Linked DNA regions of Mus musculus. The protein of the gene in region 2 binds, or shares a complex with, the protein of the main gene of each other region. Links are inferred from orthologs where the notes say so. Each region holds a gene or a part of one and is shown on either strand. Other genes may lie near its edges. The genes, in order: Drc1, Gas8, Fbxl13, Tcte1, Iqcd, Efcab2 and Iqcg.

Region 1 (4,227 bases), on a different chromosome or scaffold from region 2:
TCTTTTTTAAAAAATAATATTTATCTATTCATTTGTCTTGTGTGTGTGTGTGTGTGTGTGTGTGTGTGTGTGTGTATGTGTGTGTGTGTACTCAAACCATGGCACACATATAGAGGTCACACTGTCTTCTGTTCAAACAGCCAATCAGAAGCATCCATCACATTCAACTTCAAAATTTGTCCTGCGTCCATCTGCTTCTCTCTAGATTATTGACACAGAGTCCAGGCCAATCCCGTGCCTCACCAGAACCAGAGTAGTGTCTCCTTCCTGCTCGGGTCTCCTCAGTCACACCTCCAGCCCCTTTACACCAGTCCCCAAAACAGTGAGCTGAATAATTTGAAGGTGAAAGTGACGCTCTGCCCATCAGGAAAGTGGCCTTAATTTTGTTTAGACATTATCACATGCTATTATCACACCCAACAAATATCTCCCCACCCCAACCCCTACAAGACAGAATTTCTCTTTGTAGCCCTGGACATCCTGGAACTCTCTTTGTAGACTAAGCTGGCCTTGAACTCAGAGATCCTCCTGCCTCTACCTCCCAAGTGCTGGGAATAAAGGTGTGTGCCACCACGCCTGACAATGTCTTAAAGTAACCCAGCAGTGCCTCCTTACAAAGCTAGCTTTTTCTCAAGCTCCAAGCTATCCTTTCTAGCTGCCTGGCTTTAGGGCCTACTCCCAGGAGTCTCCTCTCCCCTTGCTGTCCTTGTCATAGATCATAGTTATAGGGACACTTGTCCTCTCTCTCTCATTAGAATATAAACTTCCTGCACATCACTGAATTCCCAGTCTCTTTGGGTTTTTTTTTTTTTGCTTGTTTGTTTGTTTGCTTTGCTTTTTTGTTTTTGTTTGTTTGTTTTGGTTTTTCGAGACAGGGTTTCTCTGTATAGCCCTGGCTGTCCTGGAACCCACTCTGTACACCAGGCTGGCCTCGAACTCAGAAATCTGCCTGCCTCTGCTTCCAAGTGCTAGGATTAAAGGCGTGCGCCACCACCACCTGGCCTGCTTTTTTGTTTTTGTTTTTGTTTTGTTTTTAAGGTTTATTTATTATTATATGTAAGCACACTATAGCTGTCTTCAGACACACCAAAAGAGCACATCAGATCTCATTACGGATGGTTGTGAGCCACCATGTGGTTGCTGTGATTTGAACTCAGGGCCTTCAGAAGAGCAGTCAGAGTTCTTAACCACTGAGCCATCTCTCCAGCCCCCCAGTCTCCTTGTTAAACACCACAGCAACAACCAAGACCATGATCCTCGGACAGCTTTGGAGATGGATAAATGTGGCATCACTTGGAGACAAGTAGAAGAGCAGATAAGAGTCCAGTTCATCTGTTAGCCAAACAGCAGCAACAGACAAGCTTACTAAGGATGCTTCTGCCTTGCCCAGTTCCTGAACCAACCCCAGTTCTCATCCCAGAACCTCCTAACCAAAGAGGTGGCAGGGATCCCAGGAGGAAGAACAGAGAACACAATGCAAATACATAATGTAGTGAGGCTCCTAGCCTTTCCCCAAGGGGATTGAAGGTCATCAGGGAACTGTCAGGGAAGGGGATACCCAGACAGTGTTAGGACAATTAAAAACAGATCTGAGTTACCATGACAACAAGAGATGCTAACCATGATCACAGCCTTGCCCAACTAGGATGGAGGCACACAGACCTCCATCTTGTACTTCTGCTGGGTCTGTAGACCACCAAAAGTAAAAGTGGAATGAACGACTTAGAAGTTGAACAACTGTCACATGAAGTCTGGTGACTAGTGGATGTCCCTTAAACTTTACCTAAGCTAATAAAGACACCAAAGCCTAGGGAACATGGTGGGAATGCAAGTGTGGTGGCTCCTATCACATCCCCTCTTAATTCACAGGTCTGGCACTTGCAGTACCTGGATGGATTCTAGACAATGATCATCAATGTCCGCAAGCACAAGCAAGCAGCCACCCCGCCTTTGCTACAGTAGATCCGTCGACATGGCCTTGGGCCCAGGGAGTGTGGCCACTAAGTGAAATGAAAGCTTTTACTCTTATTTTATTTTTATTTTGAGGTGTCAAGGCCTTCCTACGTAGACTAGGCTAGCCTTGATCTCAAAGAGATTTGCCTGCCTCTGCCACTCCAGTACTGAGATTAAAGGCATAAGCCACTAACCTGGCTTTATTTTATTTTATTTTTTAATTTTAAAATGGATCAAGATGCTCATATCTGTGTGGAACACACAATCACATATGCTCACTGGCTGTGATAAGGTATTCTCAGTAGAATGGGGATAACCGACTCTTTCACAGATCGCGGTCCATTACATCTCGTCAACAAACTCTAGCCTCTGGAATAAATCTGACCTAGAACTTTTTTATTTTTATTTTCAAATATTGGGACAGGGTCTCATTATGTAGCCCTAGCTGTCCCAAAACTCACTGCTTGAATGTTCTAGAAGAAAAGTTTTTCTGTTTACACCCAGGGCGCGCGCGCGCACACACACACACACACACACACACACACACACACACACACCTTACCATGGAGCTCCCACCCAGCCCGGCCCCAGCTCCCTGCAGGGCACTCTGGGCTCCCCATCGCACCACCCGGCCACCCAGCTCACCGCCTTCGGGCTTCCTGACGAGCAGCGATGCGCAGGCGCCGGGCCTGGATCCGCTCCTGCGGGTTATCCGAATGCACCGAGGGTCCGAGAATCGGGGTGGCTAAGTGTTCTTCCCCATTCTGCTCTAGGACCCCAATGGTTCCTGAGGGATTCATGGCGGCGTCTCCCACCCACTGGCAGCTCCGCCTGGACCAGCAGCCGGGTTGCTAGGAACAAGCCGTTGCCAAGGGAAAGCAGTCACCTGACCCATCTCTGGCTAGCTGTCGCGCGGCGCTCCAGCCCAGCTTCTCTGTCAGGCACTACGAGTTGTATATTTGTATCCCAAATGTGGACTTGATTCCCCTTGCCTGAAGTTGGTTTGGAGGGGCTGACTTGACCCCACGAAGGCAGATGGAACAAACCGCACCGCATCTCTTTCTGACTCAAAAGCCCAATTCATCATCCACCTTACCAAATGAATATTCCTAAAAGGCACTTTGCTCCAAAATAACTGAGTACCTGCAACATGAAAAGCATTGTATTATATAGCTAGAGACAGTGGCGTCCTTTCCTTAAGCTGAGTGGGAGACCACCTCAGCCCATTGCAGTTTTGGAAGTGTGAACTCAAGTACACTCATCATCTGTAGCCATGACCGAAAAAGAGGTGGGTTCAGGAGAATGGTTGGGGGGGGGGGGGCGGGGAAGAACCCAGGACACCACCGCTCTCTCAAAGCAGCAGTCTGCGGGGGCGGGGGGGGGGACATCATGCCTTAGGCACCGTGTGTCCCCTTGTCAACAAAATAATGTCCTGGGGCCAGAGAGAAGGCTCAGCAGTCAATGTTTATGGCCAAGGAGAGTGACCAACTGAGTTCAATCCTTTAGGCCCACACTATGGAAAAAGTACCAGTACTGATAAATTGTCCTTTGACCTTCACATGCCACAGTGGCATATGGGCACACAAAATCATAGGTGTAAAAAGTGGTTTTTTTTTTGTTGTTGTTTTTTAATGTTCTCTTTAAGAATTAAAACTATGCCTGTGGGCTTGTGGTACGGCTCAATGGTAAAGGGTTTACCTACACCAGTTGGTTCGTTGGAGCACCTTGGACAGGACACACAAAACAAAACAAAAACACCACTCCTGTAATCCCAGAACTCAGGATTGTGTTCCAGGTCATCCTGGAACACAATGAGACTCCATTTCTAAACTAAATTAAAATAAGAAATGTAAAGCCCTATACCAAAATAATAATAATAATAATACCCACCCTTATAATAATAATACACACAGACATGCAGACATAGTGGTTCACAATCAGCCCTCTGGGAGGCTGAGATAGGAAGACTGTAAAGTTCTAGGCCAAGCAGGGCTACATTTCAAGACACTATCCCTAATGCAAACCACTCGACAGTTTTATTTTTGTAGCATTGGAGACTGAACTTAGGGACTCAGACATGCTAGACATTCCTTGATGATGAAGGGGTTTTATGGCTTAGGGAAGTTGCAATGCAAGAATGAGTTTGCTGCTGGGGGTGGTGGCACACGCCTTTAATCCCAGCACTCAGGAGGCAGAGGCAGGCGGATTTCTGAGTTCGAGGCCAGCCTGGCCTACAAAGTGAGTTCCAGGACAGCCAAGGCTACAGAGAAACCC
Region 2 (4,370 bases):
ATACAACCTAAACATATACTGAAGACATCCCTCCAGAACCAGGGGTGTAGCTCAGTGGTGTGGCACCAGTCTTAACAAAAAAATAAAGTAAATGAAGAAAACCTCCTCCCAAGCTAAGCATGAGCAGTCAAACAGAGGCAGCCCCAATAGGGCTACCCCTTATTGGAAGTTTTGTCAAAAATAAAACAGCCAGGGGCCAGCACAATGGTTCAGCAGGTAAAGGGGTCTGCTGCCAAGCCGGAAAACCTGAGTTCAATCCCAACTCCTACACAGTGGAGGAAAGAACCAACCCACACATGTTGTCCAGATGTATAAATGAAAGACAGAACACTAATTTTAAAAACTGGGGGTGTGCCGGGCGGTGGTGACGCACGCCTTTAATCCCAGCACTGGGAGGCAGAGGCAGGCAGATTTCTGAGTTTGAGGCCAGCCTGGTCTACAGAGTGAGTTCCAGGACAGCCAGGGCTACACAGAAAAACCCTGCTCGGAAAAACCAAAAAACAAAAACAAAAAAACAAAAAACAAAAAAAACGTGAGTAATTAATCAGACGAAGACAATGTAGTTTTAAGTAAATTGTGTTCCTTTTAAAACTTTCCTTTTTTCTCCTTCTTTTTTTGGTTTTTTGAAACGGTGCCTTTCTATATAGCTTTGGCTGACTCAGAACTCACTATGTAGATTAGACTGGCCTTGAAATTACTGAGATTAATCTACCTGCCTCTGCCTCCCAAGGCAGGCGCCACCACACTTGGCTAAAATCTTCCCCTTTGATATAATGTTTACTGGCAAACAAAGAATGACATATCTGTCTTAACACTTACAAATCAGCTCTGTGACCACTGGGTATATGAAAAGATAAGGATGAAATAAAATGCACAAAGTTTAAAAATACCTATCATATTCGAGGGGTGGGGGGACGCCTTCCAGGTTCCTATTACAAAGTGTCCTCACATGGATACACTGCATTTAAAAGTATGTCATGCCAGGTGAAGTGAGGAAACTACGGGCACGGGATAGACACGTTACGTTTGGACAGACTGAGAGTAGACAGACACACAGATAAGAGTTTCGCCAGCACATCTGCAGCGGTGCCTACCCCACCCTTGAGCCAGGCTCCAAGGGCTGTGCTCACCTGCTCCTTGGTCATGTCCTCTGGTGCGACGCCATCAACAATCGCGGTCCCTTTGGCTTTCCCCTTCTTCCCTTTCTTTTTGGGTGCCTTTGTGTGAAGAAGAGAGGACTGAGTTAAGTACAGGACAACTCTATCTCAGGGTGTCCCTCCTTGATGGACTGACTGCTCACATGGTCAGCTCTACCTCAGGGTGTCCCTCTTTGACTGACTCGGTTCACACAGGCATAAGGGGAAGGAATGCCTGTTTAGAATCTTGACCTTGACTGTTCACACAGTGCTGACTGGAACATTTACCTAGGGGGTATCATTATACTGATCCCTCCCCCCCATTAATATACCAGAGGTGGGGAGGGAGAGAGATCTCATTTGGAGAAGCACTAAGGGGGAAGGGAAGGAGAAAGAAAACACTTCAAACCCATTCACTCCTGGATGTAGGACAAGAATTTCTTTGTTACGGTTAAAAACATTCTTTTGGAGAGATGGCTCAGAGGTTAAGAGCACTGACTGCTCTTCCAGAGGTCCTGAGTTCAATTCCCAGCAACCACATGGTGGCTCACAACCATCTGTAATGGGGTCTGATGCCCTCTTCTGGTGTGTTGGAGGACAGCAGCAGTGTACTCACATATATAAAACAAATCTTACATTAAAAAAAAAAAAAGAAAAACTTATGGGGGGGTGGAGAAGGGGTGTTTTGGGAAAGGCAGCATTTGAGGAGGTAGTGTGGAAACCTAAAAGATAAAAAGAAAAACTTATCTGGGCTTTAAAAAGGAGGGATACACACACACACACACCCGCCCCACCCCACAAGTATACTGGCAACCACGCTTCATAGCCACCACAGAGACACAGAAGACCCTCATCAGCAAGGACCGAGAATAAGCCTTTTGGAGAGACCTCACAGCAATGACCGAATCTGAGGCTTCCTGACTCGTGTCTGCCATTATGAACCCACTTCAGGGAACTCTGGTCTTGAGCACACCGCACACACTGTGTCTGTCTGCAGATGTTCCCAGCAGACACTGCTCACAGGGCCTGCTTTATTCTAGCAGCCTTGACAAGGCCATAAATGCTTGGCGGGAAGATTAAGCAGCAGTTAATATCGGCCATAGTTCCAGGCAGGCAGACGCAGGAAGATGCCACCCCACCAGCTAATGACCCATGCCCTAGCACATCTGCCAAGACACTGCACTACTGACAGCATCTATCTCCTGGGTGGGGCGGGGCATTATGTGAGAAAAATAAAGGAGACAGGGGGCTTCGGCCTTCTTCTTCTCAGGAGCCTGAGATACCCAAGGTGTGTATCCCTGGTCACTCCATGACACTCTGCCCTTGGTAGGGAGGCCTCCGGCCACATGGTACACGCTAGGTTTTCCACCTCCGAGTTCTCGGGGTTTCTCCTGTGCCGGATTCTGCGCCCTGTGGACACTTAATTGACCCCTGAGCCCTTAAGTACTGGTCCCAAGGATCTGACGGACTCAGCTTCTGATTTCTGGACGCCTTGCACACTGGACTCTCAGTCTAGCCAGTGTGATGATCATCCCAGAGAACCTGAATGCAGGCCCCGGCCTCCTGGCCTCCCCAACCGGGACCACACGGAAGAACTGCGCCCAGCTCTCCATTCTAGTAATCCAAAATTGCAGGCCCTCCCAGTCCCGGGGACCCGACCCTCTCCACATTTCTGCACGAAAGCCTCCCAGGTTCTCTGTGCACTGGACACTCCGAGCACAGGCCGACTCACCATGGTGCCAGCAGTCCAGCACTTCCACTAATCCGGGATGGGCGCTGGTCAGAGGAGGCTGCGCGGTCTCCTGGCAACTCCGACTAGATCCCGTGCTGGTTCTCAAATCCTCGCGAGACTATCCTCCAGTTCTCCCCTCCCACCCACCCCCGCCCTAAGGGACCTGGGCAACCGGGAGTGCGTCCCTAACAACGCGCCAGAAGAGCTAGTGTTGCCCTCGGTGTATTGCTGGTCTCTCTCCCACTACAACTTGGGCTACAGAAGAAACCTATTGTGGTTCCTCGGGTTCTCCAGAGTCTACATGGCGGGCGCTCACAAGGAGGAACGGATAAAGAGAAAAGTCTGAATGATTAATCTGCCTCCCAAGCCAAGTTCCCAAATTGGATGCAAATATTGAGCTAAGAGCCCGCTCCTGCGGCCCATCCACCTTGCCCTGCTTGTGAAAATTCCTTCCACATGCTGCTCTGATGAGACTGAACGTGTAAAGCTGGGCTTCCAGAAAGAAAAACGCTAAGGGTGTTATGCCTGCGACCACTGGGGAAGCTGAGAGGAAGACTGCATGCGTTGGAAGCTAGCCTGGGCTACATACCAAAAACCCTGTCTCAAAAAAAAAAAAAAAAAAAAAAAAAAAAAAAAGAAAAAAATGCTGGAGAGATGGCTCAGCGGGTAAGAGCACTGACTGCTCTTCTGAAGGTAGAACCACCCATAATGAGACCTGACGCCCTCTTCTGATGCGTCTGAAGTCAGCTACAGTGTATTTATTTATAATAATAAATAAGCGAGTTGATTGGAGTTGCTTGGAGCAGGGCTGCACCCTGCATAACAACCACATAAAGGCTCACAACCATCTGTACAGCTGCAGTGTATGCACATACATAAAAAGAAAGAGAAACAAAACAAAAGCAAAACAACAACAAAGTGGCTTAGCAGGACAGGGTAAAACAGAAACAGAAGGGACAGCAGGTTATGCTCCTCTGCCTGCTCTGAGGATGAAGATTCCACACCCATAAGTGGATGCAGCAGGAGAGAAAGATTGCTCAGTGGTGGGGATCTGAGGCTCCTAGCAATGAGACTCCCCTGTTTGCTAACCCAACCTCCCAGTGTCCCCTCTCCCAGATTCTTGAAGAATGGCCCGCTGGAAGAACAACACCGGATCCTTGTGAGCATTCTAACAGTGGCTTATTTGTAGTAAATCTTAACAAAAGTCCAACATAGCCGCCACGCTGTTTGCTGTCAGTGAACTTTAAGGCGAGCCCCACTCGCCTGGGAAACTCAAAAGCAGCACCTAGAAGCACCTGAGCACAGTTAGGTCAGCTGTCGAATGCTGTCAGCCGAGAGCTCAGATTGTCAGCCGGAACATACACAGGTGGACTCCGGGTAGCCTGTTTTTTACGGGAGCCTTCCAAGAAAGCTGGATTTCTTTCCTAAAGACCTAGCCTTGGGAGTTGCACTGTCTCACATCTCCCACACTCTACTAGCCAGTGCAGTCACAGGCTCCAACA
Region 3 (4,475 bases), on a different chromosome or scaffold from region 2:
CAACAACAACAACAACAAAAACCCACCAAAGTATTCTTGTATAGAAATATTTGACAGAGAGAAAAAACAAACAAAACCACAAAAAACCCACACACAAACAAGCACCCTACAAATCAGGCTTTGTAAGGGCAAATGCTCATTTTCAAAAACTGCTTTCCTCTGTGACCAAAGGGGAAGGTTCTGTGCACTCCCCTTTCTTACAGCATTTCCTGGAGGAAATGGAAGGCTGGAATATAAATCCATGGTTGTTCCTGGTCCCTTCTAGTAAGTGCAAATTTTGAAAAGTAAATGCTAGTTGTACAACCCAAAGATGTGTTTTCTACCTGCCTTTAAAGGTGCCTTATTTTTGTTCTAGGGAAGGGCAATTAGCTCCCACCAACCTCAGTTTAAAAACAAATATATTTCTCTACCTTTGAGGCAAGCAGGTATTGGTTGGCAGGTTTTATTTCAAATAGTTTTTCCAACAGTTTTCACGACTTAAGCCATCCTTTTAGAAGGGTGTGTCTCCTGTTGGTTGTGGTTCTTATTCCCAACACACACACCCCGGTTGCAGGGACGCTACGGATGACTTAAAGGTACTTCCCAGGACAGGTGCCACAAAGTGCTGGCAGAATTGCATCTCAGGGATCCATTCTTCACATAGCACGAGCAAAGTTTCAACCCAGGCTTGAGGCCCCTGAGAACCTTCTCACAGTAAGGGGCATCTCTTTGATAACAACACAAAAGCTCAGGTAAAACTTTAAAATGAGAGGCAATCTACTTGGCTCGGAGAAACCTCAGCTCTTGGCTGTGAAGCCGAAGGGAAGTAACAGGACACTTCGGGCAATGTTTTCAGCTCTTATTTTAAACAAAGAAGTGGGAGCAGGGAAGCGGCTCAGGACCCACCCAAGGCAACCTGGGCTTCCAGAGTCGTCTGTCTACCTCCAGCCTTTCTCCCCATGCAGTCGCGGGTGTCTAGGGCACCTCCAACCCAGCCTGGCCTGAGGTGGGTCCGGAGCCCCGAACCAGTCCACCTGCCGGGCAGCCCATCGCCTCACCTGCGGATCGCGAAGGGCGCAGTCGGCGACCGCCTCGCCGCGGTCCCCGAGTCAGCCGGTAGATACAGTAGCAGGCGCCGGCGCCCAGGACCAGCCCTGCTGCCACCCAGCCCACGTCCCGCGCGCCACCCATGCTGCTGCCTCGGAGCTGCAGGGAGCCGAGGAGCCAGGGCCACACGCAGGTGCAGCTGGGCCAGAACCAGCCCAGAGAAAGGAAATGGGGTTGGAGCTCCGCCTTCCGGAAGCCGCCCTGCTAAAATCGGAAGCCCTCCCACCCTGTGTGCTGCGGTTCCTTTCACCAGGCAGGCGGGATGCCCCTAGTGCAAGCAGCTTTTTCCTGGACCAAGACCGGGACTGCGGCGCGTTGAACACAGACCCTAGCTCCGCCCCAACACTCACTCTCCCGTCCAGCCCTCTCATTTTACCCGGCCCCGGCCTGTACTGTCCTGCCCCGCCCCTCCCCGCTCTGCCCCGCCTCTCTGCACTCGCCCCGCCCCTCTCTGCCCCGCCCCTCTGCAATCGCCCCGCCCCGCCCCAGTTGCCCCGCCCCCTCCCTGCTAGGTTCTTTCTTCATCTCGCGAAAGGCTTGGACTATTTGGCACCTCCTTTGTGGTTGCTAGGCAACGCTCCGGCGCGTCTCTCCTCCTCAACGTGAACAGCAGTAACCTATGAAACGCATTCTGAGTCCTGCTTCTGACCATGGCTTCACTACGCAGTGCCACCCCCAGGCTAAGGAGCTACTTCAGGGACAAGTACATTCCTCAAATCTGTGAGGTACTGCAGCCACATAGCCTCTCACACAGTGGGCGCGGGGAAAAACTGGGAGAGGCAAGGAGATTCCCGGAACTGGAGCTAAGAAGGAGCAGGATGGGGAAGCTTGAAGTCAATTTAGGGTAACTAGAGAGAGAAGGGTAGGTTAGAGAAGACCGAAGGGTGCCGGTGGCTAAAACCAAGCCCAGGTGGGGATGACAAAGGAAGGGGACGGGGGAAAGTGACAATCTGCAGGGGGCGCAAAGAGCACAGGGCCTGGGTTGGAATCTCCAAGTGTCAACTACTAAATTCTATTATGGAAGAGCGTCTTGAGCAAGAAGTGAGTGGTGAGCCACTTGAAGACAAAAGACTTGAGGGGTTCTGGGTGTAGGCTTCGCCCCGCCTCGTTGTTAGCAGGAGGGAAGAAGAGTCACCTGCCTCTACACACAGCTTCACAACACACCTTTTTAGAGATCGCCACCAAGCAAAACCTGAGGTCTTGGTTTCAACAAAGAAATGAATTTCGGGGCCAACTTGTATGAAGCAAAGCTGGCTTCATTAAACGCAGGAACAAAGGTGCTCCAGTAGAGAGAGTAGAACACACCTGGTCAGACAATTGCGGGCTTCTGAAGGGAGAGTCGACCTTAAGTGTTGTCTTCACAATGCTGACATCAGTATTTTTTCTTGTGACTTTCAAGGTTACATTTCTAAATGTTGCCAAGAAACTACTACCCCTTTTCTTTTTCTTTCTTAATTTCTTTATTCACTTACTTCCCGATTGCAGCCCACCCCTCTCCTCCCCTCCCAGTCCCTTACAAGCCCCTCCCCCACTACCCCCTTCCCCCTATCAGAGGAGAAGGGAAAACCCTCCTTGGGTACCACCCCAGAGTCCCAGAAGGATAAACATTCCCCTTTTATTAACATCACCCAAAGAGTATAGTCTGTAACAAAGTTAGATTAAAAACCGAAGTTTCTTTTTCTCTCAGTAACTAACATATAGTGCATTTATGAACAGCTTCATTTAGTTCTGGGAGTGGGGAGGCCAGGAATTCAAGATAATGTGTCATTTTGACCTTATGTAAGCAGAGCCTAATTACTGGCCTCGACATCCTTGGTTGAAGTGTCTGGAGATACAGCACCCAGCCTCAAGTGAGCACAGTTGAAGTCCATTAGGTTCTTACCCGCAGACTTAAAGTCCTTTCTGAGCAGTGAAAGTAGATCAGTTCTGAAGGAGCAGGGTTTCCTCCTCTACCTCCGCCTCCAGTCCCCTCCAGTCCCCTCCAGTCCCCTCATTCTGCCCTGCCTCGGGAGGACAGTATGGTATTGAAAACCAGGTTTTGTACTCCTGGGGGCAGGGAGCTGAGAAATCACTGGTGACTCCCATTTATCTGTATGTTATGTTACGCGGTGTATGTTATGTGGTGATACAGCGGGAGTTCTGAAATGGGGCGAATGAGGGAGTTCTAAGGGAGAGAGAAGAGTGCCATTCAACCTCCAGGGCAATTGGGCACAACACTTCCTTTTAGGATGGCTTTTCCCCGTGATTTTATCCAGATGATCCCTTCAGTCACCTCTGCTCACACATTAACAGCAGGGGCAAGACAGGTTTTGGGCACACTCATTCACTTTCCCTCAGACCATTAAGGTGACTTCTATTCTGCCAGGTCTCTCTGTACTTTGTACTTGTTGCAGTTATCTATGCATGTTTGACCTCTTCTGAACATTGCCTGTGTGTTCTAAGTAAACCTAGTTGTCCATCCACAACACTGTTTCCCTACAAACCTGTGTACACTCTGATAAAGGAAAAACCCAAACCAAAGCCTACCCATGCCAGTGGTTTGTAATGGTTTGTAAACTCTTACTTGCCAGGGAGACTGAGGCTGAAGCTTGCTTGAGCCCAGGCATAGGGATGGTAAGACTCAAAAATAAAAAACACAACCAAAAAATAAGCAAAATAAAACCTCAACACCAAACCAAACCAAACCAAAACCACAACACTTGCCTGATCTACTAAGCTTATTGAATCTGCTGATTGATATTTAATTTTCATTGGTTTTGGAACCAATTACTTAAATCTATTGTTATTTTTACCCAATTCTTTTCTATTATAGGAATCCAATCATGAATATAATAAAATTCTACCCTTGTCCTCTGTTTTAGCTTTTGTCCAGCTACCTCTTTTTTGTCTTCTGGATGATATTTTGGATATTTTTCATTGACTTATTTAGTGGATTGCTAACTTTACTAATTCTGCTTTTTGTTACATCTCATCCCATCTGTTGAATACAATAAGTGAAATCTTAATTGTAGATAATGTATTTTTCAGTCTTGGAATGCCCATTGATTCCTTTTAATGCATTCCACTTATTAAAATTATAAAGATACTTTTTCATCTATTTTGCTATAATCTCCTGTTTTCAAACATGTTAATGATTGTTTTGTAAAAATCACTCTCTGGAAAGCTGGTCACACATGTCTATAATCCCAGTTCTTGGGGAGCTAGGACAAGAGGCTTGCTTTGAGGCCAGGCTGGGCCACATGTTGAGTTCAAGACACTTGGTAAGCCTGAATAAAACAAAAACAAGAAGAAACACAGGTTCCTTCAACATCTGGATAATTTTTGGGTCTGTTGTCTGTTGTTTCTTTTCTTCCAGTAATTACCTCTACACACTGAGTGATTTTTTTTTG
Region 4 (3,691 bases), on a different chromosome or scaffold from region 2:
AGCTGGGTTGAAGCGCCCTAGGAGGTGGGAGCAGAGCCACACCCAGGCTAGTGGGGCAGGTAACCTCTAACCACGGTGCAGCAGATCTTCAAGTTGCCAATGACCCCTTGCCCTTTACCTCTCCTGTAGAGACAGGGACAAGGCTTAGAAACCAACCTAGCATTCACTTGAAGACATCTCTCAGCTCTCTAGACAGGAATCTCCACAGATGCCACATAGGAAGACATTATTATCCCGTTTTACAGATAAGGGAAGGGAGGAAGTTGAAGTTCGGATAGGTTATTCAATTTGCCTAAAATCACCAGCAAGCCAGAAATACAAAACCAGCTGATGCCTCTATCTAAATGATACCCTCCTGAACTCACCATATAGACCAGACTGGCCTCAAACTCACAGAGATCTACCTGCCTCTGCCTTCCAAGTGCCGGGATTAAAAGCATTATGTAAAGATGGACAGGGTCTGTGAATTTGCATTTGATTTGCATACAGTGGTGACACAATACATAAATATCTTGCCGACAGTAGCCCTCTCCCAAGGCTTTTCCTCCTTGAGCTGCCTGGCAGGCTAGAGTACCATCTGGTTCCTCCCTCTGCCAAGGATGTCGTTGCTGGAGCCGGGCGCTCCTTCTCACTGGTCACACCACAGTATAGCACAAAGGGAAGCTACCCAGCCACGGGCAGAGGGCCCAGGCACCGCTGTTCCGCCTTCAGGTCACTGGCAGGGTGCCTGCAACAGGAGGGCAAAGAGGTTCCCCCAGACCCAGACAGCATCCTCAGTCTTCAGCCCCATATTTAGCTGCCTTCTCACCTCCCACGCCTGCTCGCCACCTTCTGGTATGATGGGAGACTTCGAAGTGGGAGCCAGGTGGGAACTGAAGGGAGGAGAGGCATTCGCACTCTGGTCAGGAGGCTGTGTCTGGTCCCTCCCAACTGCGCACGCCCTGAATGGAGGCCACAGGTGCAGGTTTGACAGGGACGGACCTATTCTTCCCACTCAAAGCCTTTACGCAGAGGTTTGAAGAGGACCCATGTCGGCTCACATTTCACTCCAACTCCAGGGGGCTGGATCTGGCTCCAAGGACCGGCACAGGTGCTCACACCCTCGTATGCAGGGTGTAAGTATGTACAGATGTATATTTAAATGACAACTCAAAATATAGAGATAAACTATACGGATCATACATTTGAGCGACAGTACCCTGAGTACAGTGCATTAATTGTGTCAACTCCTTTGGTTTTTATTGTTTTCTGTTTTAATTTTAATCTGTATGCAGATTACACATTTCAACAATAATGTTTGGGCACACTGGATTGAGTATACAACTAATTTCATCTGTTTTAGGGTTTTTGGTTTTTTGTTTTGTTTTGTTTTGTTTTTTGAGCCGGGGTTTCTCTGTGTAGTCCTGGCTGTCCTGGAACTCACTCTGTAGACCAGGCTGGCCTCGAACCTGTTTCAGGATTTTGTTGTTCTGTTCATTTTGGTTTTCCTGTAGGGTTTTTTGTTTGATATTTCCTTTTGTTTTGTTTTTAACTGAGCTAGGCAAAGAGCCCTGCCAATGAGCCATACTCCCACTCTACTTAAGCCTCTTTTTCCCCCCTTATTTATTTATTTATATTTATTTTCCTGGCACTGGTGGTGCACACCTTTGATCCCAGAGCTCAGGAGGCAGAGCCAGGAGGATCTCTGAGTTCGAGGCCAGCCTGGTCTATGGAGTGAATGACAGGATAGCCAGAGTTATACATAAAATGATTTTCCCCCATTTTTGTTTCTTTGGTTGGTTAGTTGGTTTTGTTTTTGGCAGTAAAAATAGTATTTTGTTCCTCCCCTCCCCCCCATCTCCTGCTTATTTGTTTTTTAAGATTTATTTATTTTATTTATATGAGTACACTGCAGCTGTCAGACACACCAGAAGAGGGCATCAGATCCCGTTACAGATGGTTGTGGGCCACCAGGTGGTTGCTGGGATTTGAACTCAGGACCTCTGGGAGAACAGTAAGCGCTCTTAACCGCTGAGCCATTCTCTCCAGTCCTCTCATTTTTGTTTTGTTTTTACAAGTCGGGTTTCTCTGTGTAGCCCTGCTTGTTGTCGATGCCCCGTGCTCATGAAGTACCCTTGGAGGCCAGAAAAGCTGACAGGAGCATGAAACCCCGGATTCACTGGCTGAGATGAAACAAAATTGTAACTCCCGTGCTCAGGAGATACAAACAGGAGACTCAGCACTTGAAGGTCATAGCAACTTGGAGGCCAGCCTGGGATACCTGAGAACTTGTCTCAAAATTGATAAGGAGAGAAATTAAGATAGTGTGTAAGCCTGTACCCCACTCTGTTGGCCAGTGATCTCAGTCGTGCCGTCAGGATGCCCTGGGAGCTGGGAGCTTCTGAGTTGAACAGTTGTTCATGATAGCACTCTCCCTTGGCATTTGATACCCCCACACTCACCCTTAGAGGGGGCAGTCCAGAATCTGACTTGAGAAATTGAGTTTAAATGCACTGCTATGGATGGCTGGAGAGATGGCTCAGAGGTTTTGAGCACTTAATATTCTGTTCTTGCTGAAGGACTGAGTTCAGTTCCCAGCACCCATATCAGGCTGCTCACAACTACCCTCTTCTAGCCTCTGTGTGTGCGCATGCACACTTGCACACGCGCATGTGCACACGCACACTCATGTACGCATGCAAACACACAATCTTTAAAACATAAGTTCCCTCTCATTCGGTGTCAGCTGTGCATCACCGAGCAAGCCAGCAACCGCTCTGTACTTCATTTCCTTTCAAAAAAAAAATGAAAATGAACTCTTGTCTCCAAAAGGCTTTTTTCCCCCTTAATGACAGATGAGTTACTATCCAAAACGAATACCTGGTATGTAGCAATGATTATAATTACTGAACAGCTATTGTCTAAACTTTGGGGCTCTCCTTGCACACACCCTGTGTCCCTTTGAATACGTTGTTTTATCAACTCCTCTAATAATCCTGTTGGTAGCTACTGCCCTCACTTCAGAGGCAGCATCTGAGATGCAGAGATGTGCCTTGCCCAAAGCCACACAGCCAGTCTCTGAGAGTGTCATCTAGGTCTACTCTCCCCCCAGAGACTGATCCTTCAGCACCACTCTGTGCCACCTAAATCCCCCCCCCCCAAGTAACGCTGTCCCCTTCCTCTTGCTCAAGCTACGACCCCGCCCCCATCCTGTATCCTGCCTGCTGTAAGAAGCTTCCTACTGCAAGGCTGCCAGGATTCCGACCCCTGCCTCCCCGCTGGCCGGCAACATGCAGGAAACCCCATCAGTACCGTCCAACTCTTCGTCTCACAGCCAGTCGGTTCTCACCATCCAGCGCCAGGTCTCTGCCTTGGGCAGCTCCAGCACAGGACCCACGTCCTTGAAGACCAGCAGCACCCCTACCCCAGGCCAGCTGAAGACCAAGGTCCCAAATGTCCGTCGCATGCGCAGGATCATCTCCGAGGATGCAGAGTGGTCACTGGCCATCGTACCTCTCCTTACAGAACTCTGCATTCAACATATCGTCAAGAACTTCCAGAGTAAGTCGTCCATGTGATGTGGGCCAGAGGAGAAGGGGACCACCGTACCCAGGCCTGGAAGCCTTCTCTAATCTACTCCCACTCAGGATCAGTAGTGTTTCCTGCCGTACACACGCGCACACGCTCTCGCGCACACACACACACATACGCG
Region 5 (4,219 bases), on a different chromosome or scaffold from region 2:
TTGGGATTGATTGCGAGGGAGTCCAGAGAGGCTACTGAACATCTACAGTACACAGCTGTAGACCCCACCCACAGGAAACAACCTCCTGGCTCCGACTCAACGGCTCTGCCCTCAGTTGGTTAGCGCCCACTTGATACATGAGGCAGCTTAGCGTGGCCTCTCCCAAGTAAAGAGCCACAAGTAGTCATGGAACGCAGGGGACACTGCCCACTTCAGCGCAGCCCCACCAACTATTCCTAGAAACTGCACTCCACTTAGGCGAAATCCACCAACCGCTTTCTTGTTTTTTGTCTTTGGTGGTAGGGATATCCCTATGGAGCTTTGAAGCTTTGAAGTTGCCATTCTCCTGCCTTTGCCTCCTGAAGAGCCTATGACTTTTCAAAGAGAAAGAAACGGGGCCCAGAGAGGGTAAGTAAACTGTCCAAGGTCACACAGCAGACTCGGAGCTCCTAAGGTCCAGCCCTTTGGCAGACCTTGGTTCTCTCTCTAGCGGAGACCCAGCGAGTCACCCCTGGGGTAAGGTCACCCCTGGAAGAAGGTCCCGGAATCAGATAGCTAGCTGCCATCCTGCGATCTGTCCCCTGAGGCAGACTGACCCAGGCAGGAGTCCCCGGCCAGGTCACAAGAGGACACAGCAGGGAGGTGAGCAGGGAGGAAGGGTCGCTCGGGGGCTCTAGCTCCCCACGATCCCCATCGCGATCCGGGTCGCCCCAGGAAGTCAGGCCAAAGAAAAGGGGTGCAGAGAGAAGGGGATCCGCAAGGAGAGAGCATGCCGGCCACCTCCCAGGGCCCCGCCTCGGGCTTCTGGAGCACTCAGCCCCAGCCCCTTCTCTGCACCTTCTGACCCCTGACCCTTGCCCTCGGGCCAAGATCGCGCACCCCTCGGATCCTTACACGCGCCGTCCCGGGATCCCGCACTGTGCACTGGGTCTGCACAGCGTAGCTCAGCCCGCAGTTGCCGCCGCCAATATCCCCAGCGCGGAGCCTCAGCAGCCGCCACCGCCGCCTCACCGCTGCCACAGCGGCAGCTGCGCCAGCCTTCGCATCCGCCGACTCCTGTCACTCAGCCCCGAAAGCCCCGCCCACGGCCCTAGGCCACAGCCTACTGGCCATCAGAGGGGTCGCAATGAAATTTGACAGGGTAGACTACACGTCACTCAGCGTTCTCACAGCCCTCCTCCCAAAGGGAGGGCGGGGCGAGGAAGCAACACCCCTTTCCTCCCCACCCCACCCCCACCCCCGCCTCACTCGCGCAACCAACAGGAATCCTGCGTCTTTCCATTGGCGAAACGTCAGAGAGGCGGGGATTTTGATTGGCCATCTTTCAGGAGGCGGAGCCAACGCAACCCGATTCGAAGTTAAATGGTGAAAAAGAATGTCAGTCAAACTCAAAGTCCCGCCTTCTAAGAGTGGCTCGTAACCTAGCAACATAAGGGCCGCCGAGTTGCTTAACTGTGGGCCAAGAAACTTGCATCTTGAGGAGCTGGTGAGTGACAGCGGGGAAGCCCCAGGCTGCAGGCTGTGTGCACCTAGTAGGCACGCCGTCCAGTGATTTCTCCCCTCCAGGCGTCCGCGCCCCACTTGCCATCCCGTCCAGCTCCAGGTCCTCACTCCCTTGCCCAACCTCCATCCTGTCCTCCTCTAGGCCTCCTGCAAGCACCATCAAGTATCCTCTTCTGATAGTCTTGCTTCCTGTCTGGTCCACCTGCCATTTCATAGTCCCTCTCCTCATCTCTTACTGATACCATTTGTGAAGTTCACATCGAGTGAACTTAGTTCAAGTAATTGGATGGGTTGGTTTGTTTTGGTGCCCACTGTCCGCACTATGTTCAGAGGTCAGCTTGCTGGGTGCGTGACCCCCTTCAGTGTATGCTTAAAATAAGGATTTGTTGTTTGTTTTGATTTTGGAACAAGGTCTCACTATGTAGTCTCGAACTCACTCTGTAGACCAGGCTAGCCTCAGACTCACAGAGATCCACCAGTCTTTGCCTTTGAGTACTGGGATTAAAAGCATGTGCCACCACCCTTGGTCTAATTAGGTTTTTTCCCCTTTAATTGTTAAAGTTTTATTATCATTATTAATATTATTATCACTATGTCTGCGTTGGTGGGGTATGTGAATGTGAATACAGACAAAGGGTTTTGGATCCTCTGGAGCTAAAATTAATTACGGGTGGGCAGTTGTGAGCCACCTGTCATAGGTGCAGGGGACTAAACTCTAGTCCTTTCAAAAAGCCGTACACGCTCTTTTAAAATAACGTAAAGCTTTATTTATTTTTACTTTATATGTATCTGTGGGTGCCTACGTGTATGTGAGTGCACAAGGTATGTTCACAACGTGTGTGTGCTGTGACTGCCAGGCTAATTGCAGTGATCCCCGCCACGACTTATTCTACCCTAACTCCCTCTGTCTAAGCATTTCCTAGGACATTCTCTTGGCTCATACAACGAATAATTCACATATTTAACATGGGCTTATTGAGTGCTTAGTGTGTGTCTTAGTTAGGTTTTGACTGCTCGCTTTACACCTTGACCAAGGCAACTCTTGTAAGGACAACATTTATTTGGGGCTGGCTCACAGGTTCAGAGGTTCAGTCCATTATCATCAAGGTGGGAGCATGGCAGCATCCAGGCAGGCATGGTGCAGGACGAACTGAGAATTCTACATCTTCATCTGAAGGCTGCTAGCGGAAGACTGACTTCCAGGCAGCTAGGATGAAGGTCTTTTGTTTGTTTGTTCTTGTTTTTCGAGACAGGGTTTCTCTGTATAACCCTGGCTGTCCTGGAACTCGCTTTATAGGCCAGGCTGGCCTCGAACTCAGAAATCCGCCAGCCTCTGCCTCCAGAGTGCTAGGATCAAAGGTGTGCGCCACCACGCCCAGTTTAGGATGAAGGTCTTAAAGCCCACACCCACAGTGACGCACCTACAACAAGGCCACACCCACTCCAACAGGGCCACACCCACTCCAGCAAGGCCACACCTACTCCAACAGGGCGTTCTAAAAGTGCCACTCCCTGGGCCGGGCATATATAAACCATAACAGTATGGTTAGTGACGGCAGTCTGAGTTGCATGAAATCCTGTCTGAAATGGGAGGGCTGGAATGATAGCTTAGACATTTAGACATTACACTGTTTTTGTAGAGGGCCCTCAGTTCCTAGCATTCATGAGTCACAACTGCCTGTAACTCGACTTCAGGTGATCCAGCGCCCTCTACTGGCCCAAAAGACACCTGCACTCATGAACATCATGCATGCACGCATGCATGCACGCGCACGCACACACACTTTTTCTTTGAGGTCCTAGTGAGAGTTCTTGGAATTAAAAGTGATTAAAAATCAAGAACACTTGAAACAGAACATCAGGGTAAAGTATCTCTGAACTTCAGCTTTTATTATAGCAACGGGCTAGATCCTGTAGCCAATGAAAATATTTTAACCTGAATGCTCTCAAATGCAGGAAACTTTTTCCTTTTAATGGACAAAGAAATGCATCTCCTCTTCTACTCTCAGTGCAGGCTTAATTATTGAAAGAATAACGCGGGTTCACACTGCACCAAACACCAGGCAAATACGAAGTCTGTGCTTCCTCTATTAATTATGTTGATATCTTATACTCTGGTAACTAATATTTTTTAAAGATGAAGGGTTTATTTTCTTATTCTGTGTGTCACACCTGGCTCTTACATGAGTATGAAGGAGCTTCAGATTCAAGCATTTTACTGACAGAGCCATTTCTCTAGCCTGCATTTTAAGTTCTGTTTTATTTACTTCCTGTGTGTACGTGTGTGCATGTGTATGTGTTGTGGATATGTATTCATGTGTGTATGTGTGTGTGCACGATATGTATGTATGCATATGCATGTGGATGTGTGTATAAGGATGTGCATGTATTGTGTATTGTGTGCATGTGGATGCATGTGCATGTGTGTGTATGTGTGCATGCATGCTTGTTCACTTATGCATGCATGTGTGTGTGTGCATGTGTATATGCATGTATATGTGTATTCATGTGATTATATGTGTATGTATGCCTGGCAGTGGTGGCGCATGCCTTTAATCCCAGCACTTGGAAGGCAGAGGCAGGCAGATTTCTGAGTTCGAGGCCAGCCTGGTCTACAGAGTGAGTTCCAGGACAGCCAGAGCTACACAGAGAAACCTGTCTTGAAAAACCAAAAAAAAAAAAAAAAGTGTATATGTGTGTGTGTGCATGTGTGTAT
Region 6 (3,189 bases), on a different chromosome or scaffold from region 2:
TTCTTGTACTTCCAGGGCAGTTGTGGCATGTCCTAATAGACAGAGCCTGCATCGGGGTTTTTTTTTTTTCCCCCGAGATCATAAATAGTTTCAGTTATTTATTCAACATTATTTAATTTTTTCCATGTTGTATGTGCCAGTACATTTGTTAGGTGCATGTAAGATGCACCATCATATCTTAATGTATCATCATTATTGTATATAGCATGGTCTTCTTCTAATTGTGCTTACCGTTGCTTAATTCAGGAAAATGGTTGATTGCTTAAGAAGTGATTTGTTTTGTTTTGTTTTGTTTTGTTTTGAGACAGGGTTTCTCTGTGTATCACTCTTTGTCTTGGAAGTCATTTTGTAGACCAGGCTGGCCTCGAACTCAGAGATCCACTTGCCTCTGCCTTCTGAATGTTGGGATTAAAGGTGTGTGCCACCAGGCCTGCCTGGCTAAGAAGTGACGTTTTTATTCTCAAAATTCTAAAAACTTTTTTAAGTACATACAAGTTTTGGGACTATAAAGTTACTTCTACAATCCTTTCATAGTATCTGCAGAGCAGTTAACACATCTTTAAGTTTGAGAATGCTCATTTTAAATGCCCAGGAGATTGTAAGGTAAACACCATAAAACATACTGAATCAAGTGCCTACAAGACAGAATCCATGTTAGTCCAGGATGTATATTGCATCAGAACGTATTTAGTAGCAGGGAAGATCTCAAGTCTTTTAAAAACAAATACATGTTGGGATGTGTCAGATGTTTGTGGAAGTGGTATTTGAATAACACATTTAATCCTTAAACCAAGCCCATGGGTGGAGAGTGTTACTATTGTCTGTACTGTGTAGACTGATAGAAAGGTTAAGCAACCTGCTCACCCTAAGCTAAGTCTAGCCTTAAGCTCACTATCTTCTTCACCCTGGGTGTTGGGACTGAAGTGGCACCCATTGTCAGCATCCCTTTGACACTTACATCCAGGTACATGTAGCAGTGGATTTAGTGTCTGTCATTTGTAGGGCAGCAGGGGTGGGGGAATAAAGGGAGCGGGAGAGAGCTAGTTCCAGTGCTCTGGGTGGGCAGACTCAGAGGACTGGGTGTCTGGTTGTGGGAAGCCACAGACCCCAGCCCGTGGGGAGTGGACAAGGGGCAGACCGAGGTCTCTGGGCTTCACAGAGGCCAGAGATAACAGGTTCTCAGTCTCGGGCATCCCAGACACCGCTGGACACTGTGGAAGAGCAGAGAACAAAGTGGAGGTCCCTGGGGTAGCTCAGTCACCCCCAGGGCTGAAGAGAGGAAAGGGCAGGGAGAGACGGGGCATTGGGTGGTTCCCATGCAGGCAAGCGTCTCTGGGAATGTGGCTCACTGTTCTGTCCCTTGTAGAGTTTTCTACTGGGTCTCCAGAGCAAGCCTTTCTCAACCAAAACAGGCGCCTTTCACGGCCCCACAGCCAGTCAGATAACAGCCAGAGTTTGCCACTTCAGCATTTCAGAGCATGAGTTTGAAGTTTGACTCTTGGACATGCCAGAACTCTGTCTCAGAACACAACAAGAAGAAAAAAACAAAATTTAAAGACAAAAGCCACACAGAGTCCCTATCTGCATAAGTTCTGTAATTGGTAGCTGAATCCTAACATAGGAAGTCCTGGAGACAGTGGGAAGTAACCTAGGCTCATAAGGAAAGCAACTCTCCTCAAGCCTTGGTGCTGTGTCTAGTGAGCACAAGACTTTCCCCAGACATCTGGTGATGGCCAGGATGCCCTGTCTTTTCCCTCAACACTGAGCATAGTTGTGTCTTAAACAGTCTGTAGCCTTTTCAATGTTCTCCTGAAGTTTGGGTCCTACCTTGTGAAGCCAGTTTCCAAGGTATCTTTCAGATGTTACCTGAGTCCAACTAAAGCCCAGATTTTCTCCCCAACTTCTGATTTCATTGCATCAACACAAGCCCAGATTGAAAGAAGGAGGACTTTCAGGATGCTTGACGAGTTTTGTCCATGGCAGGGTTAAGACAACGAGAGTGAGGCAGTCCTGATAGAGTAGTCAAGTGTCTGGTCTCTCTTCAGCAATAGCTAACTTTTAATTATTTCCCCATAGTTTTAATAAAGATAATAGTTATGCTCACTTATACAACTTTAGCTTCCAGCAAATACTTTTGCAATTTCAATCATTTTAGTTTAAGTGAATTAAACAACTATATTCATGGTGTTCTCCTGCTGCCTTGACTAAAGAGATGTATTCTGTAGGTCTCAGCAGGGCAACAAGTCTACAGCCTTGCAGATGTGTGGCAGCATGCATTTTGAACTCCTGGGTTCTCAAGTGTTGCTGTACAGCTCCAGTGAAGAAAAAACTGGACATAGTTGCAAGGCAGTATAGAGGACTAGTGGGGAGAGCAAAACCTCTGACTGTAAAATCATGCTATCCTTTCTTGTCTCTCCAGGTGAGCCTTTTTCCCAAGAGGAAATGGAAGAAATGTTGTCTGCTGCAATTGATCCCGAATCAAACACCATTAATTATAGGGACTACATAACAATGATGGTGGTAGATGAAAATTAAATGCTGCAAAGACTTCTTTTTTCTCCTTTTAAGACAACTGTAAACATTCAATTTCTAGTTGAAATGATAATTTGAAAATTTGTCCTAATTAATTTCACATTTTATTGTATAATTTCTACATTTAGTGCCTTATGACATAATTGTTTCAAGGTATTTTGTTTACTAGAGATGATCAGTTTAAAACATAAATTTATTTAGTATGACCAGATTTATGGAAGGACAAGTTAATTATTTCAAAGGAATTGTACAGTATTTTAATGTTAAATGTATCGTTGCTTATTTTCCACAACTAGGCCAATGATACATTGAAACTAATTAGAAAGTGAGATTGATCCTAACCCCCTAACATTTGCCATAGAAAGCTCTTGCAGGGCAGGATGGCCACAGACTAGATGTGAGTGGCAGCTTGGTGATGGCTGCCTTTCAGAGCAGCAGTAAACACTTCAGCAAGCAGAATATGGAGGGAGAGCGACCAGAATAACTATTAATAATTGATTTCTTATGAATGCCAATTACAAATCTCATTTGAGAGTCTAATAACTTTGAGTAAAATTGAAAATTGCTCATCCAGCATTTTGCCATTTATGGAATAGCTAAAGGAGGTGAGATAATTGGATCCAGAGAAAGGAAGACTGAATGAAAGCTGATAATGGC
Region 7 (4,384 bases), on a different chromosome or scaffold from region 2:
CTCTTCACGTGTCTAGGAAGACTCAACCACACCAATTTCTCACTAACACCCCTACCTTTTCAGTAGAAAAAACGAGATTAGTCAACCAAAAATTAAAAGGCATGGGAGCATACTTACTTTTTTGCCTTATACACATAAGCACATCTCTTGCCTAAGTAGAACTCCGTTTCATCTCGGGCATAAACGCCTTCAATTTTAAGAAGAGCCGTGTGCTCTCTTTGGTTCCGGAGACCTCGCTTGTAGCCAGCAAAAATGGCCTTGCACCACAGCCTAAGACAACGTTAAGAAAGACATGATGACTACCCCGTTACAACTTTTCATGTATCTTTTAGCAAGCCACCATGATTTGCTTTGTAGCAATTCCTACTCCAGCTATCTACAGCAGACCTCTCGTTCCCCTCCCGCATTACACTGAACTTTAGCTTCGCGTTTAATAGAACGAAACAGAAATGGAGAAAACGACTATTGTGAGATCGCGTACCTTCCAGACATACTTGCTGTTAGAAGTCCTGTTCCCAGCAGGCCTGAAAAACAAAACCGAGAGCTCAACCGAGAGTCATGCAGCACGCATCCCACCTGTCACTATTTCCCGGCGCGAGAGATGGCTTCAGTCGGCGTCCCAAGGATGGGGACCTCTTACCTACGCCCTGCCCCCTATAGAGGCAGAGCCTGGCAAAATACTCAGGGCTCCGACAACCAATGACAACGAACGACTCGGAATCGTGGGCAAAGGCCGGGTGGGAAGGCGACTCACCCGAGACTTAACTTCTCAAACCCCAAAAGGAACCCGGAGGCGAGCTCATGCCTCCATCAGTACAGAAAGCAGCTAACACAGGCGAGATCCGGCTCTGTGCGGGGAACCCAGCTCCCAGGGACCACCGCTCCCCGGGCCAGTAAGACCGGGGGAAATGCACCCATTCTCTCCTCCCGAGCCGGAGATCGACCGAGACCAGCGAGCTCTCCTCCCCCGGCCGGGGCCTCCACACCATCAGCCCGTCATCGCCTCCATCCCGCCCTCCATCCTCCTGGAATCCCCAGAAACCTCTGGCGGTCGGGTTCTCCGAGACGCCAGGTTGTCTCGGTGAGGGATGAAACTAAACGCACCCCAGCAATCGGGCCCCAAAGCTCAGCAGCAGGAACCCCCCTCACCTCCACAGGCGCCAAGATGGCGGAAAGAGGAAGGCAAGCCCCGCCGCGCGGCCTTGTGGGACGCACGCCCCGCCCCTCTCCGCGCTTAGGCCGCTCACACTGCGCCAGAAAGCAAAGGTCAGAGACAGAGAGAGAGGCTCGACTCAGCCAAGCCGCGCTCAAGAACTTTAAATTCTTTCCCTCCTGCCCTTTCGTCTTTGTAAGCGGCAACACGTATTATTTAGGAACAAGGAAAGGCAAAATCGTAGTCGACTAAGAAAGAATCAGGGGTCCTACTTAAAAAAAAAAAAGAGCTTGCGCGACGCGTTGCCATAGCTACCGATTAGTTTGGTTCCCGCCTCCAGCTGGGCTGGTAGAGAGGTAAGGAAAAGTTAAGTGTTTTCTCCTCTTCCTAGAATGGAGACTGGGATCCTACCATATAGGAGAGAAAAACCTGGAGCATGAAGGCAGGAGTTTCTCTTGATTTGTTCTTTTATTTTTTCCCATCTTTAATTTAACAAACAGGGTGTGGTAGCCGTTGCCCGTTAACCTCAGCATTTATTCCGGAGACTGAGGTAGGAGGATCACATCACAAATTCGAGGCTAGGCTAAGTTACATAGCAAGGCCCCATCTTAACAGCAACAAACATCCATGAGGCAAACCGCGGTCCCGGTGCTTGCTTGTAACCCCAGTATTCTAGCTGTGCGAGCAGGTGAATAGGACTTAAAAGACCATCCTCTGCTACATAGGGAGTGCCAGTCAGCCTGAGCTACATGAGACCCCATCTGAAAAAAAGGGAGACGATGTGAGGAAGTGAGAGATAGAAGATATCCTTCCATCCTTTCCCTGACTTGTCGGATGCAGATAAATTTTTTAAAATTCATTTATTTATTATATGTAAGTACACTATATCTGTCTTCAGACACTCCAGAAGAGGGAGCTAGATCTCGTTATGGCTCCATGTGGTTGCTGGGATTTGAACTCTGAACCTTCGGAAGAGCAGTCAGGTGCTCTTACCCACTGAGCCATCTCACCAGCCCACAGATAAATTTAATAGACTCAGATTTACAGTTCCTAACTTGTGCATTAATTAAGGCGAACTGATGGATCCATTCATTTAATCAGAGAGTAATTTATTGAATGACTACCACTACCAAGAATGCTGTAGGCTTGTAGGGCACCAGAGTAAACAGACTAAAACGTCTGCCCTCTTGCAGCCTACATGAGGGAGCAAGGATGGCATGTTGGCTCTGGTGTCTGTAATCCTTGCACTTAGAAGGTTGAAGTATGAAGATTGCTCTGTTTTAGGTCAGTAAGAGGTACATTATGTGTACACAGATATCCTGAGCTACAGAGTAAGAAATCTCATCCTTGCTCCCTCACTCCTCGCAAAAAAAAAAAAAAAAAAAAAACAAGACAACAAGCAGATTAGACATGTGGTATGTTAAAAGGTCAAGACTTCCTTTCTTTTCCTTTTTTTTTTTTTTTTTTTTTTTTTTTTTTTTTTTTTTTTTTGGTTTTTCAAGACAGGGTTTCTCTGTATAACCCTGGCTGTCCTGGAACTCACTCTGTAGACCAGGCTGGCCTCAAATTCAGAAATCCGCCTGCCTCTCCCTCCCGAGTGCTGGGATTAAATGCGTGAGCCACCACCGCCCAGCAAGACTTCCTTTTTAAAAACCTGTTTATGTGTGTGCTTTCAGAGGTCGGAAGATGGCCTCAGACTCTAGAGCTAGATTTTACATGCAACTTGTTATTGTTATTGTTGTTGTTTTGTTTTGAGACAGGGACTAGAGAAATGTCTCAATGTTTAAGGGCATACACTGTTTTTAAAGAGGTCTTCAGTTCAGTTCCCAGCATCTACATCAGGGACTCACAATTACCTATAACTTCAGCGCTAGGAAATCTGCTGTATGCACACAGTGCACATAGAGACAAGCAGGCACATACACATTTTTTTTTAAAGCCATTAACAAGAAGGACAAAGTCTCATGTAGCTTAGGCTGGCCCCAAACTCCCTGTATTGAGCCAAGGATGGCCTCTTCTGACACACCAGAAGAGGGTGTCAGATCTCATTACAAATGGTTGTGAGCTACCATATGATTGCTGGAATTTGAACTCAGGACCCTCTGGAAGAGCACTGATTGCTTTTAACCGCTTAGCCATCTTGTCAGCCCAAACTCGATTTCTCTAAGTCAAGTTACAGTAAATTCTGTTCTCTGATAGAGCAGGGCAGAAATATTTAATTTAATATATAAGTGAGAATAATAGAAGAAATTAAAGAATCAAAAATAAATCTGAAGCTGGGCGTTGGTGGCACATGCCTTTAATCGCAGCACTTGGGAGGCAGAGGCAGGCAGGTTTCTGAGTTCAAGGCCAGCCTGGTCTACAAAGTGAGTTCCAGGACAGCCAGGGCTATACAGAGAAACCCTGTCTTGAAAGAAAAAAAAAAAAAAAAGTTCTCTGTTGATTCACAGTCAAACTCAGAGTACAAGTACACACATTAAAATTGTGTTAGATGTCAATTTACCGTAAAAAGAGGCAAAAGACTACCTTGAGTATAACTTCTGGTTTGATGAACCAGTAATGGAGCCAGCCACTTAGTAAGCCTACATCTACCCTGTCTGGAAAACAACAACAACAAAAACAAGCCTGCATCTTATGAGCCTGCTTCCCTAAGCAGGAGGAGACAAGCTATAGATAGCTCTTGGGATTCTGTGGGGTTTTTGTTTGTTTGTTTGTTTTGTTTTGTTTTCTCTCCTACAAAAAGAGCCTGAGAGTAAAGGGAAAAAAATTAGCATTCCCTGGAACTGATATCAATGTTTCTTTTCTACTTTAGGTTCCTTCATTCTTGTGAAATTATAAATCTAGCCCAGAGGGCAAGGAAAGAAACTGAGGAAGAATGGACGAGTATGTTTCAAGTTCCGGTTTGTTTGTCCCTGTACTGTTGCAATTACGCCATTTGTTGAATTCGGTGGATTACTTTTCGGTAACAATGTAACCAACTAATGTAACGCCCTAAAGTATAAACACCTTCCCATTTCAGCGCTGCTGTGGGGTGGGCGCTTGAGGGCGTTTAGCAAGTGACTCTGGTGTGGGATCTGGGCCAGTTAAGCTTTCCCTGTCTGTGGGACAAAATGTCACACAGGAAGCAGTTTGGGGCAGACATGAAAGGTGTTGTCTTGGCTCACACTTGGAGGTGTAGGTGTGGCAGCAAGAGCAGAAGGGACCAGCCACAAGCCAGCCACAGTCAGGAAG

What was found.
Region 1: Gas8 (region 2) and Drc1 share a complex: the UniProt entries of both Homo sapiens proteins name them as parts of the nexin-dynein regulatory complex. The link is inferred for Mus musculus from reciprocal best matches to the Homo sapiens genes DRC4 and DRC1.
Region 3: Gas8 (region 2) and Fbxl13 share a complex: the UniProt entries of both Homo sapiens proteins name them as parts of the nexin-dynein regulatory complex. The link is inferred for Mus musculus from reciprocal best matches to the Homo sapiens genes DRC4 and FBXL13.
Region 4: Gas8 (region 2) and Tcte1 share a complex: the UniProt entries of both Homo sapiens proteins name them as parts of the nexin-dynein regulatory complex. The link is inferred for Mus musculus from reciprocal best matches to the Homo sapiens genes DRC4 and DRC5.
Region 5: Gas8 (region 2) and Iqcd share a complex: the UniProt entries of both Homo sapiens proteins name them as parts of the nexin-dynein regulatory complex. The link is inferred for Mus musculus from reciprocal best matches to the Homo sapiens genes DRC4 and DRC10.
Region 6: Gas8 (region 2) and Efcab2 share a complex: the UniProt entries of both Homo sapiens proteins name them as parts of the nexin-dynein regulatory complex. The link is inferred for Mus musculus from reciprocal best matches to the Homo sapiens genes DRC4 and DRC8.
Region 7: Gas8 (region 2) and Iqcg share a complex: the UniProt entries of both Homo sapiens proteins name them as parts of the nexin-dynein regulatory complex. The link is inferred for Mus musculus from reciprocal best matches to the Homo sapiens genes DRC4 and DRC9.

Annotation. Positions count from the first base shown.
Region 1 is NC_000071.6:30,279,978-30,284,204, reverse strand, and holds the start of Drc1 (dynein regulatory complex protein 1), read right to left. Parts: upstream 2,813-4,227; 5' UTR 2,754-2,812; coding exon 2,599-2,753; intron 1-2,598. UniProt on the Homo sapiens protein: Component of the nexin-dynein regulatory complex (N-DRC) a key regulator of ciliary/flagellar motility which maintains the alignment and integrity of the distal axoneme and regulates microtubule sliding in motile axonemes.
Region 2 is NC_000074.6:123,517,451-123,521,820, reverse strand, and holds the start of Gas8 (dynein regulatory complex subunit 4), read right to left. Parts: upstream 2,987-4,370; 5' UTR 2,872-2,986; coding exon 2,869-2,871; intron 1,218-2,868; coding exon 1,131-1,217; intron 1-1,130. UniProt on the Homo sapiens protein: Component of the nexin-dynein regulatory complex (N-DRC), a key regulator of ciliary/flagellar motility which maintains the alignment and integrity of the distal axoneme and regulates microtubule sliding in motile axonemes.
Region 3 is NC_000071.6:21,642,798-21,647,272, reverse strand, and holds the start of Fbxl13 (dynein regulatory complex subunit 6), read left to right. Parts: upstream 1-1,667; 5' UTR 1,668-1,736; coding exon 1,737-1,811; intron 1,812-4,475. Other genes in the region: Armc10 (armadillo repeat-containing protein 10), read right to left, coding at 1,038-1,170. UniProt on the Homo sapiens protein: Substrate-recognition component of the SCF (SKP1-CUL1-F-box protein)-type E3 ubiquitin ligase complex.
Region 4 is NC_000083.6:45,529,831-45,533,521, forward strand, and holds part of Tcte1 (dynein regulatory complex subunit 5), read left to right. Parts: intron 1-3,170; 5' UTR 3,171-3,269; coding exon 3,270-3,540; intron 3,541-3,691. UniProt on the Homo sapiens protein: Component of the nexin-dynein regulatory complex (N-DRC) a key regulator of ciliary/flagellar motility which maintains the alignment and integrity of the distal axoneme and regulates microtubule sliding in motile axonemes.
Region 5 is NC_000071.6:120,587,609-120,591,827, forward strand, and holds the start of Iqcd (dynein regulatory complex protein 10), read left to right. Parts: upstream 1-1,414; 5' UTR 1,415-1,486; intron 1,487-4,219. UniProt on the Homo sapiens protein: Component of the nexin-dynein regulatory complex (N-DRC), a key regulator of ciliary/flagellar motility which maintains the alignment and integrity of the distal axoneme and regulates microtubule sliding in motile axonemes.
Region 6 is NC_000067.6:178,478,894-178,482,082, forward strand, and holds part of Efcab2 (dynein regulatory complex protein 8), read left to right. Parts: intron 1-2,419; coding exon 2,420-2,535; 3' UTR 2,536-3,189. UniProt on the Homo sapiens protein: Component of the nexin-dynein regulatory complex (N-DRC), a key regulator of ciliary/flagellar motility which maintains the alignment and integrity of the distal axoneme and regulates microtubule sliding in motile axonemes.
Region 7 is NC_000082.6:33,053,276-33,057,659, reverse strand, and holds the start of Iqcg (dynein regulatory complex protein 9), read left to right. Parts: upstream 1-1,473; 5' UTR 1,474-1,509; intron 1,510-1,617; exon of another isoform or gene 1,618-1,703; intron 1,704-3,965; 5' UTR 3,966-4,028; coding exon 4,029-4,036; exon of another isoform or gene 4,037-4,115; intron 4,116-4,384. Other genes in the region: Rpl35a (60S ribosomal protein L35a), read right to left, coding at 118-270, 482-492. UniProt on the Homo sapiens protein: Component of the nexin-dynein regulatory complex (N-DRC), a key regulator of ciliary/flagellar motility which maintains the alignment and integrity of the distal axoneme and regulates microtubule sliding in motile axonemes.